Linked DNA regions of Macaca mulatta. The protein of the gene in region 1 purifies or fractionates together with the protein of each later gene. This does not show direct contact. Links are inferred from orthologs where the notes say so. Each region holds a gene or a part of one and is shown in the gene's direction. Other genes may lie near its edges.

What was found. The genes of interacting proteins can lie anywhere in the genome.
Region 2: the proteins of FBXW7 (region 1) and STYX purify together in Homo sapiens (affinity purification with western blotting; 4 studies listed by BioGRID and IntAct, with this or other methods). This does not show direct contact. The link is inferred for Macaca mulatta from reciprocal best matches to the Homo sapiens genes FBXW7 and STYX.
Region 3: the proteins of FBXW7 (region 1) and MTOR purify together in Homo sapiens (affinity purification with western blotting; 9 studies listed by BioGRID and IntAct, with this or other methods). This does not show direct contact. The link is inferred for Macaca mulatta from reciprocal best matches to the Homo sapiens genes FBXW7 and MTOR.
Region 4: the proteins of FBXW7 (region 1) and NAP1L1 purify together in Homo sapiens (affinity purification with mass spectrometry, with the first as the bait; 3 studies listed by BioGRID). This does not show direct contact. The link is inferred for Macaca mulatta from reciprocal best matches to the Homo sapiens genes FBXW7 and NAP1L1.

What each region holds. Positions count from the first base shown.
Region 1 is NC_133410.1:161,010,145-161,014,337, reverse strand, and holds the start of FBXW7 (F-box/WD repeat-containing protein 7), read left to right. Parts: upstream 1-1,393; 5' UTR 1,394-1,462; coding exon 1,463-1,963; intron 1,964-4,193. UniProt on the Homo sapiens protein: Substrate recognition component of a SCF (SKP1-CUL1-F-box protein) E3 ubiquitin-protein ligase complex which mediates the ubiquitination and subsequent proteasomal degradation of target proteins.
Region 2 is NC_133412.1:125,885,497-125,888,996, forward strand, and holds part of STYX (serine/threonine/tyrosine-interacting protein), read left to right. Parts: intron 1-1,086; coding exon 1,087-1,147; intron 1,148-1,881; coding exon 1,882-1,918; intron 1,919-2,308; coding exon 2,309-2,348; intron 2,349-2,440; coding exon 2,441-2,491; intron 2,492-3,500. UniProt on the Homo sapiens protein: Catalytically inactive phosphatase. Acts as a nuclear anchor for MAPK1/MAPK3 (ERK1/ERK2). Modulates cell-fate decisions and cell migration by spatiotemporal regulation of MAPK1/MAPK3 (ERK1/ERK2).
Region 3 is NC_133406.1:229,593,037-229,596,536, forward strand, and holds part of MTOR (serine/threonine-protein kinase mTOR), read left to right. Parts: intron 1-2,279; coding exon 2,280-2,528; intron 2,529-3,216; coding exon 3,217-3,317; intron 3,318-3,500. UniProt on the Homo sapiens protein: Serine/threonine protein kinase which is a central regulator of cellular metabolism, growth and survival in response to hormones, growth factors, nutrients, energy and stress signals.
Region 4 is NC_133416.1:83,219,170-83,222,669, reverse strand, and holds part of NAP1L1 (nucleosome assembly protein 1-like 1), read left to right. Parts: intron 1-281; coding exon 282-311; intron 312-816; coding exon 817-867; intron 868-1,597; coding exon 1,598-1,633; 3' UTR 1,634-1,641; exon of another isoform or gene 1,642-1,669; intron 1,670-2,348; 3' UTR 2,349-3,500. UniProt on the Homo sapiens protein: Histone chaperone that plays a role in the nuclear import of H2A-H2B and nucleosome assembly.

The sequences.
Region 1 (4,193 bases):
TGAATATATCAAATATTTGATATATCTTGACATTTTGTATTATGGTAAGAAGAAATAAAAGACCTTCCTCAAATTTTAGGATATGGACTTCTGTTTGTTGATGTTGGTGTTTTATCATACACTGTTGTAAATCATACTAAAGGTTTTCTCTGAAAAAGACTAGAATTGACAATACTTCATTTGTTAACAGTTTCAAGTTTTAGATCACGGGTGCTTAATTTCTTGTGTGTGCACAATATGTTGGCATTATTTTATCTGACCTCAAAGATGTCCATATAGATACCAACAAAGGATAAAGTGTAAGAATAAATATCATGAAAAGATGCTGTATCAGATAAAATTCTAGAGCCAGGTTTAAAAAACATAAAGGTAAACATGCTTGATATGTAAAAATTGAGAAATATGATAAAAACAGAAATGTTTAAAGCATCTGTAATACCACTGCCTAAGATGCAGTTTATTTTGAAATGTTGTCTTCTAGTCTTCATACAGTTTAAAAATCATATTATAATCATTATTATTTCCAGTATTTTCCCCTTAGCGTAATATAATATAACATCCGTGTTTTAAAAAATGTTTTATGAACGTCATGTTTAGGGATTACACTGTATATATCCCATCTCATAGATTCCTTTATATTGAGCATTTGAATTTTTACTTTTATTTACATTTATTTTTATCTTTATATTTGCTTTTGTGGATAAACTGCAGTGAGCATCCTCTGTATAATTTTTTTTTTCTGTTTTAGGATTACTTCCTTAGGATAGATTGCCAGAAGTGGAGTTACTGGGTCAGAGGGTATGAACTTATGAACTTTTTTTTTTAAATAAATTTTTTGTTTCTGTCCAGTCATTTGTAAAAGAATTAAAATAATAATGATTATAATTGTTACCTGCTTGAAAACTGTGTCTGAAGGCAAGATTCTGTGATCAGAGAAGTTTGGGAAATACCAGGATAAAAAGCCTTTTAATCTGATTTACCTCAGCATTTCCCAAATTTAACTGAACACTGAAATTTTTTTTTGATACACTTCTTAAAATTTTGTGGAAGTTTTATATAGGATATAGTCTATGAACTACTGATGTAAAGTTGAAATTGTTTTATATGCTTATGTTTTATTGGTCAAAGGAATTAAACTATAAATCTTTATGCTAAAAATTATTAAAAGCGATTAATGTTGTTTACTATGGTTTTTGTGCATGTCTTTATAAAGTCTTATAACTTTTAAAATTGAAATGTTCTATATTGTTTACTAAAAAGCATTTTAATGCCTTGGTGGCATCAATACTTTTTTGCAATCATTAATGATATTTAGAATGTAGACATATAACATGAAAGTAGAACATAATATAGATTGTACAAATCTTGTTTTTTCCACTATTTTCCCCTGCAGAATGTGAAAACCTTTGCATCTTCTGATAGTCTAGCCAAGGTCCAAGAAGTAGCAAGCTGGCTTTTGGAAATGAATCAGGAACTGCTCTCTGTGGGCAGCAAAAGACGACGAACTGGAGGCTCTCTGAGAGGTAACCCTTCCTCAAGCCAGGTAGATGAAGAACAGATGAATCGTGTGGTAGAGGAGGAACAGCAACAGCAACTTAGACAACAAGAGGAGGAGCACACTGCAAGGAATGGTGAAGTTGTTGGAGTAGAACCTAGACCTGGAGGCCAAAATGATTCCCAGCAAGGACAATTGGAAGAAAACAATAATAGATTTATTTCAGTAGATGAGGACTCCTCAGGAAACCAAGAAGAACAAGAGGAAGATGAAGAACATGCTGGTGAACAAGATGAGGAGGATGAGGAGGAGGAGGAGATGGACCAGGAGAGTGATGATTTTGATCAGTCAGATGATAGTAGCAGAGAAGATGAACATACACATAGTAACAGTGTCACAAACTCCAGTAGTATTGTGGACCTGCCCGTTCACCAGCTCTCCTCCCCATTCTATACAAAAACCACAAAAGTGAGTATATTCATTATATTGTTAACTTGAGAAACTTTACATACCTATTTTAAGTAATGAAACTTTCCTCTCAGTCTTTGTATTACTAAAAATTAATCTTAAGATATGTAATAATAAAATGAACTAGTTTTTTGTTTTACAGAAGGTATTGGAAAGTATTAACAAGTAGAAATACTGATAATGGGACAATCTGAGTACAAATGGAGGGAAAGTAATTGAGCCTATTACTATGAAAAGTTATTAACATCAAATTTTTGTCTAAACCTTGAGTTCCGGGCAGGGATTAGTAGCTTGTGTGGGGTGTAGAGGTTTTGGGTGAAATATGATTTGTGTAAATCAAGTAATGAAGAAGCTTTTTATTTACAAAATGCAGCTGCTGGAGTGGGCTGTCTATTTACAAGTGTCACTCTAAGGCATAAATTACTCAAAAGTTGCCTCAAATTAGTTCTAGTTATTTATGATTTGAGAATTAGAAATAGTGGATATTCATGTAGAATAGACTTACAAGTTAAACTATATTTTGGAAAGGAACATTTTAACTTGAATAATAGCTTACTTGTTTTATAGACATTAAAATAATGTCTGTGGTAGTTCATCCTCTTACTCCTACTTGCTTATTTCTTACATTTTACAGTGATTTTAGGCCATAAACAATATACAAACTGATTTAACTGATTTGACATCATATCATTTAACCTAACTTGACTTGGAATGAAGTGTCTTACACACTTGGATTAATAATAGTTGAATTGCTAAATCATGTTTTACATCTGCTTGTAAAACCTTGACTTTCTAAAATGTGTTTGGCCCTAATTTACCTAGCCTGTCTGCAAGTCAGATTATATTTAGCTAGCATGATCTAAGAAGGACGTGACATCAAGTAGTGATTTTTCATCCATTGTATCATCCCTGTCTCAAGATGTTGAAGCAGTAGCTTTGGATCTCAGCCAGATGGCTCTACCGCTAACAACTATACACTGCTTTGTTAAGGCTCAGACCTTATATAGTGTCATTCCTCCCTTCTGTCCCCCCAGTCTTAATCCCCTTCTTCAAGGTTACTATATCAAAAGGGAGTTTATACAGCTCTTTTTTTCCTGAGGGTTCAGTTAGAGGAATAGGGGTTTAATACTTAAGTTCCAATTGCATTATCTTATTTCAGAAAGAGGTTCAATCAAAACTAAGCCTTGCAGAACAATGCAGAGTTATTGCTGATTTCTGCTACACTTTAAATTAAAAGCAAAAAAAGCTAGTTAGACAAAACTTTATCTTTTTCCAAAAGGAAAAGTCATCCTTATATTCTGTAGGAAACCTTCCAGTTCACAAGTTTGACAGGTACTTCATCTTTTCTTTACCTTCAAGATAAAATCATTAACAGAAATTTTATGTGTGTGATGATTACCTCTTTAAAAACGAAGTATACTGAATTTGTTAGTTTTTTTTCCTAGTGATTCTGAATCAGGAATAACAGTTATTCTTGTACATGCAAGATAACAAGAATGGACTGGGCCCTAACCATAGCAGGGATAGATGTGTGTATGCATTTGTATATATACACATGTACAATATAGATGTGTATATGCATTTATTATATAAGTGTGTATGTATACTTTTTGATATATTGTTGATCATGAGATGATTTGCCTTCATAAGTATGGCATGAAGAATACAAAGCTATTTGATTGCCAGGACAGTGATGCCCTTCTATAAGTACGATTTCAGTCTGAAATTTTTCTAAATGTTTTCCTTTTTGTCCATTCCTAAAACCCTTCTGCCAGAGTATTCCCGGAGCACTTTCAACAGCATTTAGAAAAGTCGCTTAGTACTGCTTTACCTAAAAAGAAAATGTCAATATTCTCCGTCTGTAGATGTTTTAATACAATAAATAGAAGCTCTCACTAGTTCAAGTACTTTATTTTGGAAGAGCTTTAAATTCTTGATCATTATAAAGTTAAGACACTTCTACAGACATTACCCTAGACCATAGTTTCATTCAAGTCTTAAACTTTGACTTTTGAGAGTAGAGGCATAAGAAATGAAATCCCATTTTTAAATGTTAATATAGGATTAGCTTTCTACAGATTTTACTCAGGATACCTTTCAAGTTTTATTTTTTGACGTTCTCATAAACAAACCCTGTGGACAGCTAGACTGAATTTTATCCGTCATCCCTAAATATGCTGCATAAGCAAATATGATATTAATGAGAAAAAAAGATGTTTAATTCTTCCTT
Region 2 (3,500 bases), on another chromosome or scaffold:
CCGGGTAACTGATCATTGAAGAACTGTAATTTTTAATGCAAAATTGTCCTTAAAACTAGTTTAATAACTTAGCTAATTGCCTATAGTTGTGTTAATAAACAGTGGTAATCTTAGGAATGCTTAGAAATGGAAGTTTTTTACAAAATAAAACAAGCTAACATATTAAAAATGCCTTATTTTTAAGTATTTTGTAAAGTGTAATTCAAGACAGGTGCTCTCTCAGCTGGTTTTTTGGTTTTTTTTTTGTTTTGTTTTTTGGTTTTGCTTTACTAAAAATTAGTTCAAACGGTGGATGTTTGAGTCATGGTTCCATAGACCATGCCTTCTGTTTTTATTTGTTCCTTCTCTTTTAGACTTTGGACTTCCTCTGAAATGTCCTCTGTAGTTTTATGAGCAGGGGTCACAGGACCACTTAGAGAACAATCTTCTGGTCTTAGAGAAATTGATAGAAATAAAAGAATAACATAACGATTACAGGTACCTTTGTCTTTATTTCTAGGTCCACTCTGATCTAGAGGAATGTATCTTCCTGCTTGTGATTTTTCTGTTTTAGCCAGATGGTTCATTATATGCCAATAAAATATGTATTTATTTTTGAGATAAGAATCTTGCTTTGTTGCCCAGGCTGGAGTGCAGTGGCCCAATCATAGCTTACTATATCCTTGACTTCCAGGCTCACACAATTCTACCTCAGCCCCCTGAGTAGCTGGGACTATAGGTGCACACCACCACACCCAGCCGATTTTTTAATATTTTTTAGAGATGGAGTCTCCCTCTGTTGCTCAGGCTAGGCTCAAGTGATCCTCCCATCTTGGCCTCCCAAAATGCTGGGATTACAGGCATGAGCCATTGTGCCCAGGCTGATGGATTTTTTTAAATACTAAAATATCAGAGATGTTAACATGGTGTTTCAAGTTTTAATGCCTTCAAGCAATGTAAAATCTACCACACAGTTCTTGGGAATATGATACTTTGAAAGTTGTTTTGCATTCTTGTCATGGTTACCAAGAAATAATGAGTTATTTTTTTAAAATACATTAAGCGTTTTACTTAAAGTGTGCTTATCACAAAATACTCTATTTTCAGATATTTAGTCCTGGATATCGCAGATAATCCAGTTGAAAATATAATACGTTTTTTCCCTATGGTAGGTACCAGTATTTTAAAAAATAACATTTAAATTTATTTATGATTTGACTTCTTAGTTGTGCTGCTTCTTTTTTCTTTTCTTTTCTTTTCTTGTTTTTTTTGAGACAGAGTTTCACTCTTGTTGCCCAGGCTGGAGTGCAATGGCACAATCTTGGCTCATCACAACCTCCGCCTCCTGGGTTCAAGTGATTTTTCTGCCTCAGCCTCCCAAGTGGCTGGGATTACAGGCATGAGCCACCATGCCCTACTAATTTTGTATTTTTGGTAGAGACGGGGTTTCTCTGTGTTGATCAGGCTGGTCTCGAATTCCTGACCTCAGGTGATCCGCCCGCCCCAGCCTCCCAAAGTACTGGGATTTCAGGTGTGAGCCATCACACCCAGCCCCTTTAATTGTGCTTGTAAAGCTTACTACTTTTACTTTGCTGTGACTGAAAATTATGTGATTGTGTTTTTTAAAAAAATGAATTATTTGTAGAAAAATTTTTTATGATCTCCAGAAATTTGAGGAATCATATTGTGAATATATTAGATTCAAATTAAATTTTGGCTTCTTTTTTTTTTTTTTTTGGACTTGTCTACTACAAGACAATTATTTGTAGCATTTTGGAAATTTGTGAATTAAGATAATTTTTATACCTATAAATTAGGAAATTGTTTTCAATAGGTTTCATTTTATTTCATTATATGCATTTATTTTATGCTTACATTAATCCACATGTCTTTTGCCTCCAGACTAAGGAATTTATTGATGGGAGCTTACAAACAGGAGGTAAATAATATTTCTTTTCCTTAACTAATGTTTATATTTTGATTATTTGTTAATTTTTTAGTTGGTATTTGTCTTAAATGCAGGATATGGAAGTTACAATTACATGTAGTAGCTTACTCCCAAATTTTTATTTTCCCAATTACTTGTTTCATTTCGATAGGCTTTCTGGAGTATCCCTGTAGACTGTTTTCAAATTCTCTGTGAGCTTTCAATTTCTTTAATAAGAGTCTGGTATATTCTCTACACAGCTAATAATAACAAATTGTAAAGATTTGAAAATAAACATCCAAGCGATTATAGTATATAAGGAAGGAGTTACTTTGGTTTCAATATATTTCAGCTGCTGACTCAGGTGTTTTTCTATTAGAATAACGAATTCATGTTTTTCAGGAAAAGTTCTTGTGCATGGAAATGCAGGGATCTCCAGAAGGTATGAAGTTAGAAATAATCTTTCTTTCTGTAACATTTAATTAATGAGTTGTATTTTCTGGTTGTTTTCTAAAATTGTTTCCCCCTCTTCAGTGCAGCCTTTGTTATTGCGTACATTATGGAAACATTTGGAATGAAGTACAGGTAAGAAAATACCCTAAAACCTAGCCACAGTTTAAATTCTCATTAAAATGAAGCTTAATGGGAATGGTTTGGAAGTTTGAAGTTCTTATTCCCCTGATTATTTTTCATGTAGTCATGTTTGATTAGGCAGGCCCTTATTCTATGGTTAGTCTCAACCTAATTTATCTAGTTGTATAGATATGCATAGGCTAATATGGAAATCCTATGAAAAACTACTTACGACAAGAGAATTGGTTGGTCTGAGTATAAAAACTCCTGAACACAAATGTTAGTGCTTGCCTTATTTAAAAGGCTAATTTGTCATGTTCTACTTTAACAATAGTTGGATGAAAAATTACCTAGGAATTGTTTGCAGCATCTGTTTGTAATTCAGAGTAGTCTTTCTTATCAAAAATTATCTTTTCCAAGCATTCTATATAGATTTTTTAAAAGATGGGGGTGGTCATGAGCTTCTTACCCCAAGACAAAGCAAAAGCCTGGCCAGTGTACAGTATTTCCTTTCTCAGTTTTTCTTGTTCTACAAATTAGAAATCTTGTAGTAATCATTGACACCTTTTTCTATTTCAGTCCCCTTTTATATTTAAATTAGAACGGGAAACTTTGCTTTAAAATATCTATTCTTAAAAGAATATTATTTGAATACAAATATTTATTTATTTATTTATTTATTTATTTATTTATTTATTTATTTATTTTGAGACAGAGTCTTGCTCTATTGGCGGGCTGGAGTGCAGTGGCATGACCTCGACTCACTGCAACCTCCGCCTCCCAGATTCAAGCAATTCTCCTTCCTCAGCCTCCCTAGTAGCTGGGACTACAGGTGCACGCCACCATGCCCAGCTAATTTTTGTATTTTTATTAGAGACAGAGTTTCACCATGTTGGCCAGGATGGTCTCGATCTCTTGACCTTGTGATCCGCCAACCTCAGCCTCCCAAAGTGCTGGTATTACAGGGGTGAGCCACTGCGCCCGGCCTGAATACAAATATTTAATTGCAAAAAGATTGAAC
Region 3 (3,500 bases), on another chromosome or scaffold:
GATCAGAAGCAGGGCCGCCTGCGAGACCCAGCACCCTGGCTGGCTTGCTCATGTCCTCCTGTGTGCTCGTGGTTACAGCTGAGCTTCTGTGGAGCTAGGCTGATGCTGTTAATTTGCTTCTTGAGTCCCTGGAGTCTGTCAGTCACAGGCCCAGGGAGCCTGCGTTTCCCCCTACAAGTTTAATTAATACAGAAAGATTATTGTGAGAAATACTTGTTACACCATTATTAGGTGTGTGGGGTGCTGGGGATTGCTGCTGTCTTATAGATTCTGAGCTGCTTGTTTTCCTGGGAGCATCTGGACACATGGTTAATCTCTGGAGCGTCATCTTCCCTTGGGTCATCTGTTCCTGCTCAGCATTTTTCTGATTTCCATCCTTGCCTGCTCCTCAGCTAAGAACTTAACTTTCTTTATTTTTATTGGAAAGATCCAAGTAACATCCTGTTATGTTACAGGAAACTTTTGAAAGAGATAAACAGAATTAGAAAATTTTTAAAAGATGTGATTGATGGAGGGGTGATTTTTGCAAGTATATATCTTTAGTGAGAACACACATTCTCATTTCTTTTTGAGAGGCTTCCTGGTAAGTAGGTGTGGCAGATGTCATTGATGTCTTTCCAGTATCTCCTTGGTTTGCCAATACTTTGTGAATTAATCCCTCTGAAATCTAAACTTGCATCTGAGGACTGCAGAAGCACTTATAATACAGATCTTACCTTTGTTTAGACATGCTTCATTCTGGTTTGCATGAATGTCCAAAGCTGTATGTCCAAAGCTGCATGTCCAAAGCTGGAAAATACATCCAGTAAACACTATTAGCTGGAAGCTTATTAATCAGAATTGCATTCTAACCAGAGTTACTTTTCTTCATTTAGCTTTTAGGAAGTAAGCAAATCACAAGAAAAAAGCTGGTTTCAGGAACTTTAGTTTTAGTTTTTAAAAGCATTTCCTAATGTGGGTCCCTTTAGTTTTATAATGTCTTCTACCGTCAACATCATGGCCCTGTGTGCATGCCAGGACTGTTTGTCTGGTTCACCTTGACCCCAGATCATTGCTAGGCACATAGCAGATATACAAGAGATGTTCGGGGAATAAATGAAGGTATGGAAAAACTGAAACCTGGGTCATTGTAGAATTCTTACTCACCAAGTAAAGGTTAATTGTGATCAGTCTATTCTGCTTAGATGAGAAAACGGATACACCTGTGTTCAAGGTTTTTGGCAAGGCATACAAATGAATTTCCTGATTATTCAGAAAGTTCAGCTATTAATGGGTCACGTAGTGTCCTACTGTCACTGCAGAGTTACCGTGCCTGGAAGCAAACTCTGCCTCACACTTGCTAAACCAAGCAGTGGTACGCTATAGAGTCACTGCCGCTCAGAACCCCAGAGAGACAGTAGTATTCCTTTATCCGAATAAGCACCAAGGGTTCGTCCATCAAGCATTGAGCTCTGGTTCTCTGTCAGGCCATGGGCTAGGTGTGGAGACCAGGTAGATGGGTGAGATTCTTTCTCCATCATGCTCCTATGCTCTTCATGTCTTCCTTTGTCCACTATCTGGTGACCTGTCAAGACTTTGCTCCCCTGAAATATTGTGATGACTGCTGCTTGCCCCCACTTCTGCTTGCCGCTTCTGCTCTCCCCTAAATGTACACTTTATATCCAATGCAGCTCTGCTTTCTGGGTGAAAGTGCCAGCCCCGTGCCTGCTTTACTGGCCTCGCTCTCACTCCTCGCCTGCGTGTATCTCCTGCGCAGTCACATCCATGGGCTTATTTCCCGTGAACCAATCTGTGCATCTCTGGCCTTATCTTCCCCCTTGCCAAGTAGTCCCCACCGCTGCTCTCTTGTTTCCTTCCTTGCCCTTCTGCAGCTCTCTTCCAGACCTACCCCAAATCCCTCTTCTTGACAAAGCTTTCCAAATCCCTGTCCTTGCTACTCCCGTTGCGCCTTGCAGAGTACCTAGGTCTTCAGGTTTGTGCGTGAGCTCCCCTAGAAGGCCAGGAGATCCCTTGAGGCAAGAGCTGTCTCCTGCTCCTCTTGCTGTGCCCTTCTCGCAGTGCAGTCACAGCAGTACATTATATAGTTAGTGCTCCACAAAGTCAGTGGATCATGTTGAATTTAGTAAAACAGCCATTTCTGAGTGTCTCCTTGAAGTGTTTGCTTTATGGACACAGAGAAGAGGCAGGAGCAGCTGTTCCTCAGCATTTACCTTGCACTCCTCTGAGCCCTGCTGTTGGTCATAGCTCCAGTGTCTGTCCTTGCCTTTCTCCCCAACCAGGCCTGGCACGCGTGGGCAGTGATGAACTTCGAAGCTGTGCTACACTACAAACATCAGAACCAAGCCCGCGACGAGAAGAAGAAACTGCGTCATGCCAGCGGGGCTAATATCACCAACACCACCACTGCCGCCACCACGGCTGCTACTGCCACCACCACCGCCAGCACCGAGGGCAGCAACAGTGAGAGCGAGGCCGAGAGCACCGAGAACAGCCCCACCCCATCGCCGCTGCAGAAGAAGGTCACTGAGGTACCCTTCCCTTCTTCCTTATTACCAACCAACCAACGTGCCAGGCTCTCTGAGAAATGGAACTGTTGTTAAGCTTAAAAGGAACCTGAGGCTGTATCTGAAGTGCCAGGTGGAGCTGGAAAATACTGCCTGTCTGCCATCCAGCACTGCCTGAGACAGGGCTTTGTGTGGATATTTGTGTTTGGGGAGCTGACGCAGCCTCCACGCTGAAGAACAAGCTCCTTGTCAAGCTTCCCCGTGGATGAGCTCATTCTCTACGTGCTGCACCTGTGTGTGGGTGGCTGTACGCAGCTGCAGGTCCACTCTGAGGATGGGGCTTGGGAGATCCATCCTCTGCCTTTTTCTCTCCACTTCCACTTCTTCCCCTTCTCCTTGGACTGTCAGTTCAGAATGCACCAGGGCAGCTGGCAGGCCCAGAGATCTGAGTGTTCAGAGCCTCAGCCCCATCTCCTCCCACCATCCCGTTCAGGAAGCCACCGTCAGCCCCAGATAATAACAGTTATGATACAGTTGCCATTTATTGAGTCTTTGCTGTGTGCCAGGTAATGATTAAAGCTTTTTCATGCATTAACCAATTTAATTGTTATAACCACCCTTTGAAGTAGGTACTATTAGTATGCTGTTATGCGCATTTTACAGATGAGAAAGCTGAGGCAAGAGTGTCACTAACACGTGTGTGTTCCAACAGGATCTGTCCAAAACCCTCCTGATGTACACGGTGCCTGCCGTCCAGGGCTTCTTCCGTTCCATCTCGTTGTCACGAGGCAACAACCTCCAGGATACACTCAGGTATCAGAGAAGGGGAGGATGCAACTCTGGTAGGCCATGTTAATGGCAGGACATAGAAGTCACACGTAAAAGTCCTCTTTCCCTTCCTGACCCTGATGAGGACACCCAAGATGGGTGTATGTGCCTTTTTTCTGCACTGCAGTTTGAAGAGTAACAGCTGACTGGGCCCCACCTGTGTGGGTG
Region 4 (3,500 bases), on another chromosome or scaffold:
CGTACAGTGCATTCCACACTTAAGTGTGGGTGAGTAATATTTACAGTAATACTTGTCTGATCACCCATTTTATCCACATGATTGTACTCTGTTCTTTATTATAAATTGGCAGTGAGCTGAGTGATTATTGCAGCCACTATGTGTTAATTTATAATCAGCCTCTTGATAGGAAAGTAGGTTTTCTCTTTTAAGACACTAGTTTTACAGTGATGAATGTTACTAATGCTACTCTGAAATGTGTGTTACATTCACTCAACACATATGCTGTTTTTCCTTTTCAGTATGATGAAGAAGGTGAAGAAGCGGATGAGGTAATGTTTACCAAATGAGCAAATAATTCTCTGTGGTTAACACATTGAGAAGCAAATTGAATGACTTATGTATTCCTTTGCTATAATCATTCTGTGATTTGGGATAAAAACATTTTGGAAAACATGATTTTAGAATTCTACAGCCAAACAATGTATGTATAAGGTTTCAATAAATAAATTGCAAAACTCAGCAACATTTTTTTATTTCAAATAATTTTGTTCTGCTGCAGGGTTATCAGCTCTTTGAAGAAGTCAAAAGCTGCAGTAAACTTTTCCAACGTTGGCTGCAGTAACTATTTTCAATAAAAGCTGTCTGGATGTCTCAAGTTGTGTTGGGAAATTTTTCATATTAGAAGCTTTCAGATTAAATTGTATTATCGTCAAACTCTGTAATCATGAAAATCTGTTGACCCATAGAGTAACTTGTATTAAATTTTCCCTACATTATGAGCCAATTTACCTACTATGTACATACTTCATGGATGCATTTTGAACTTTAATATAGGAAGGGGAAGAAGAAGGAGATGAGGAAAATGATCCAGACTATGACCCAAAGGTGAGCAAAATTAGTGCTGCTTTCTATTAAATTTAAGACAGCTAAAGTAAGAGTTGGTGTTTCTGAATATCAAGTTTCTCTCCGTTAAAGTCTTTAATCAGTAAAGCCTACTGACTGGATAACTTTCTTTTTTCAGTCCCACTGGCATTTTGAACAGTACACATAATTTCAGTGGACCTTTTTCTAAGAAACGTTGTTTTTTGTTTGGACTTTGTACTTTTTATAGTTTCAGGTACAGTGCACCCTAGGATTCTATTTTAATGGGATAAATTATAACAGTTCTTAAGCATTAGAAAATAAACAAAGGTTTTTAAAAGATCTGGTGGTAGGAGTGTTCGGGAACTGGGGAGCAGTGCAGTTTGTTAGATCCTTCCAACTACTCTTACTCAGTCACTGAGAGTCCTTGTCTATTATTCCTTAAAATTTGTTATATTAGGATTAGCAAAAGCAAAGCTGATTGGTAATATAACTAACATAAATTGCTTGGTAACTTTATTTTTTAAGATTATGGTTTAGTGTGTCATTTTATGGAATTAATTCTACAGTGTAAAGTTTGAGCTTGATTTTAGCATTTCAGTGACTTGCTAATAAAATAATTTACCATCATTGTCCTATACCATTTCTTTTGACAACAGTGAGCTACTGTTATAATTAAGGCAGTAATTACTATTGAGAAATTCACTGAAGCAGGTAGAAGAAGATAGATTGACTTCTTGTTTTCCTTTAACAGAAGGATCAAAACCCAGCAGAGTGCAAGCAGCAGTGAAGCAGGATGTATGTGGCCTTGAGGATAACCTGCACTGTAATAGCCTAAACACAACTCTTATTTACTTACAGCCTTATGTTTTTGTATTTTCTTGGTAGACTAGGTAATTTTTTTTTAAAGGACAGGAAACTGATATTTTAAAGACCAATTTGTTCTACCTAGCATTTTAGCTAGTTTTTCTGCCAGATATGTTGAATGCACAAATTCTGTCACGCATGTTCATTCATTGCTACATAATTTGGTTCTTCTGGAATATTTTTATGTAGCTCTTGGAGTACAGCTATGAAAATTAACAACTGTTAAAGGAAATACCTTTTTTTTTTTTTTTTTTTTCATGATTTTTTCCTTGAAGAACCAAAGTATTTTTTCAGCTGGTTGTTGAATAGGGTTAAGTCCGCTTGGATTAGCTGTGCCTTTCATTACTTTGTTACAGAAATGCAGTGACTTATACTAAGATAATGTATCGTTAAAAAAAAAATTGGCAAGACAACGATATGGTTAAGAATTTCCAGTATGACCACACCCAATAACTGTATTAGATTGTTAGTGGATTATTGTGTTTTAGGTGACATAGTTAACTGTAAAGTAACCTGGCTCAGTGTAGTTACTGGTACCACAGTGAGGTGAATAAAACGGGATTTTCAGAAGTTAGCCTGAATTTACCTGTACTTTTAAATTTAACCTCTATTAACTAAGCATCTTTTCTTTGTGGTAGGGTCTACCTTCTGCTTCCCTGGAAAGGATGAATTTACATCATTTGACAAGCCTATTTTCAAGTTATTTGTTGTTTGTTTGCTTGTTTCTGTTTTTGCAGCCTAAAATAAAAATTTCAAATACAATTTTAGTTCTTACAAGATAATGTCTTAATTTTGTACCAATTCAGGTAGAAGCAGAGACCTTCCTTGAATTAAGGGTTATACTCAGTTTTTACCACATTATTGAAGAAAAGGGTAACAGCTTTGGCATGAGATACTATACTAATAAGCAAGTGTAAAAAGAGAAAAAAGAAAATCTTAAGTGATTTGATGCATTTTTTTTTTTTAAATTCATTTTCTTTGGGTTAGAGCTAGAGAGAAGGCCCCAAGCTTCTGTGGTTTCTTCTAATTCTTACTGCTTAAAGTATGAATATGTCACTTAAACCCATGCTTCTGTTTACTGTGTATTAAAATGGGTAGTACTGTTTACCTAACTACCTCATGGATGTGTTAAGGCATATTGAGTTAAATCTCATATAATGTTTCTCAATCTTGTTAAAAGCTCAAAATTTTGGGCCTATTTGTAACGCCAGTGTGACACTCAGCATTTTGTTCACACCACGCTTTGATAACTAAACTGGAAAACAAAGGTTAAGTACCTCTGTTCTGGATCTGGGCAGTCAGCACTCTTTTAGATCTTTGCGTGGCTCCTATTTTTATAGAAGTGGATGGATGCACTATTTCACAAGGTCCAAGATTTTTTTTCAGATATTTTTGATGACTGTATTGTAGTAAATACTACAGGGATAGCACTATAGTATTGTCATGAGACTTAAAGTGGAAATAAGACTATTTTTGACAAAAGATGCCATTAAATTTCAGACTGTAGAGCCACATTTATAATACCTCAGGCTAATTACTGTTAATTTGGGGGTTGAACTTTTGATGACAGCGAGGGTGGATTATTGGATTGTCATTAGAGGAAGGTCTAGATTTCCTGCTCTTAATAAAATTACATTGAATTCATTTTTAGAGGTAGTGAAAACTTCCTTTTTGAGATGTTAGTGTTAAGGTCTTGGAATGTGAACACATTATTTGTAGTGCTATCCATTCCTCTCCTGAGATTTTAACTCACTACTGGAAATCCTTAACCAATTGTAATAGCTTTTTTC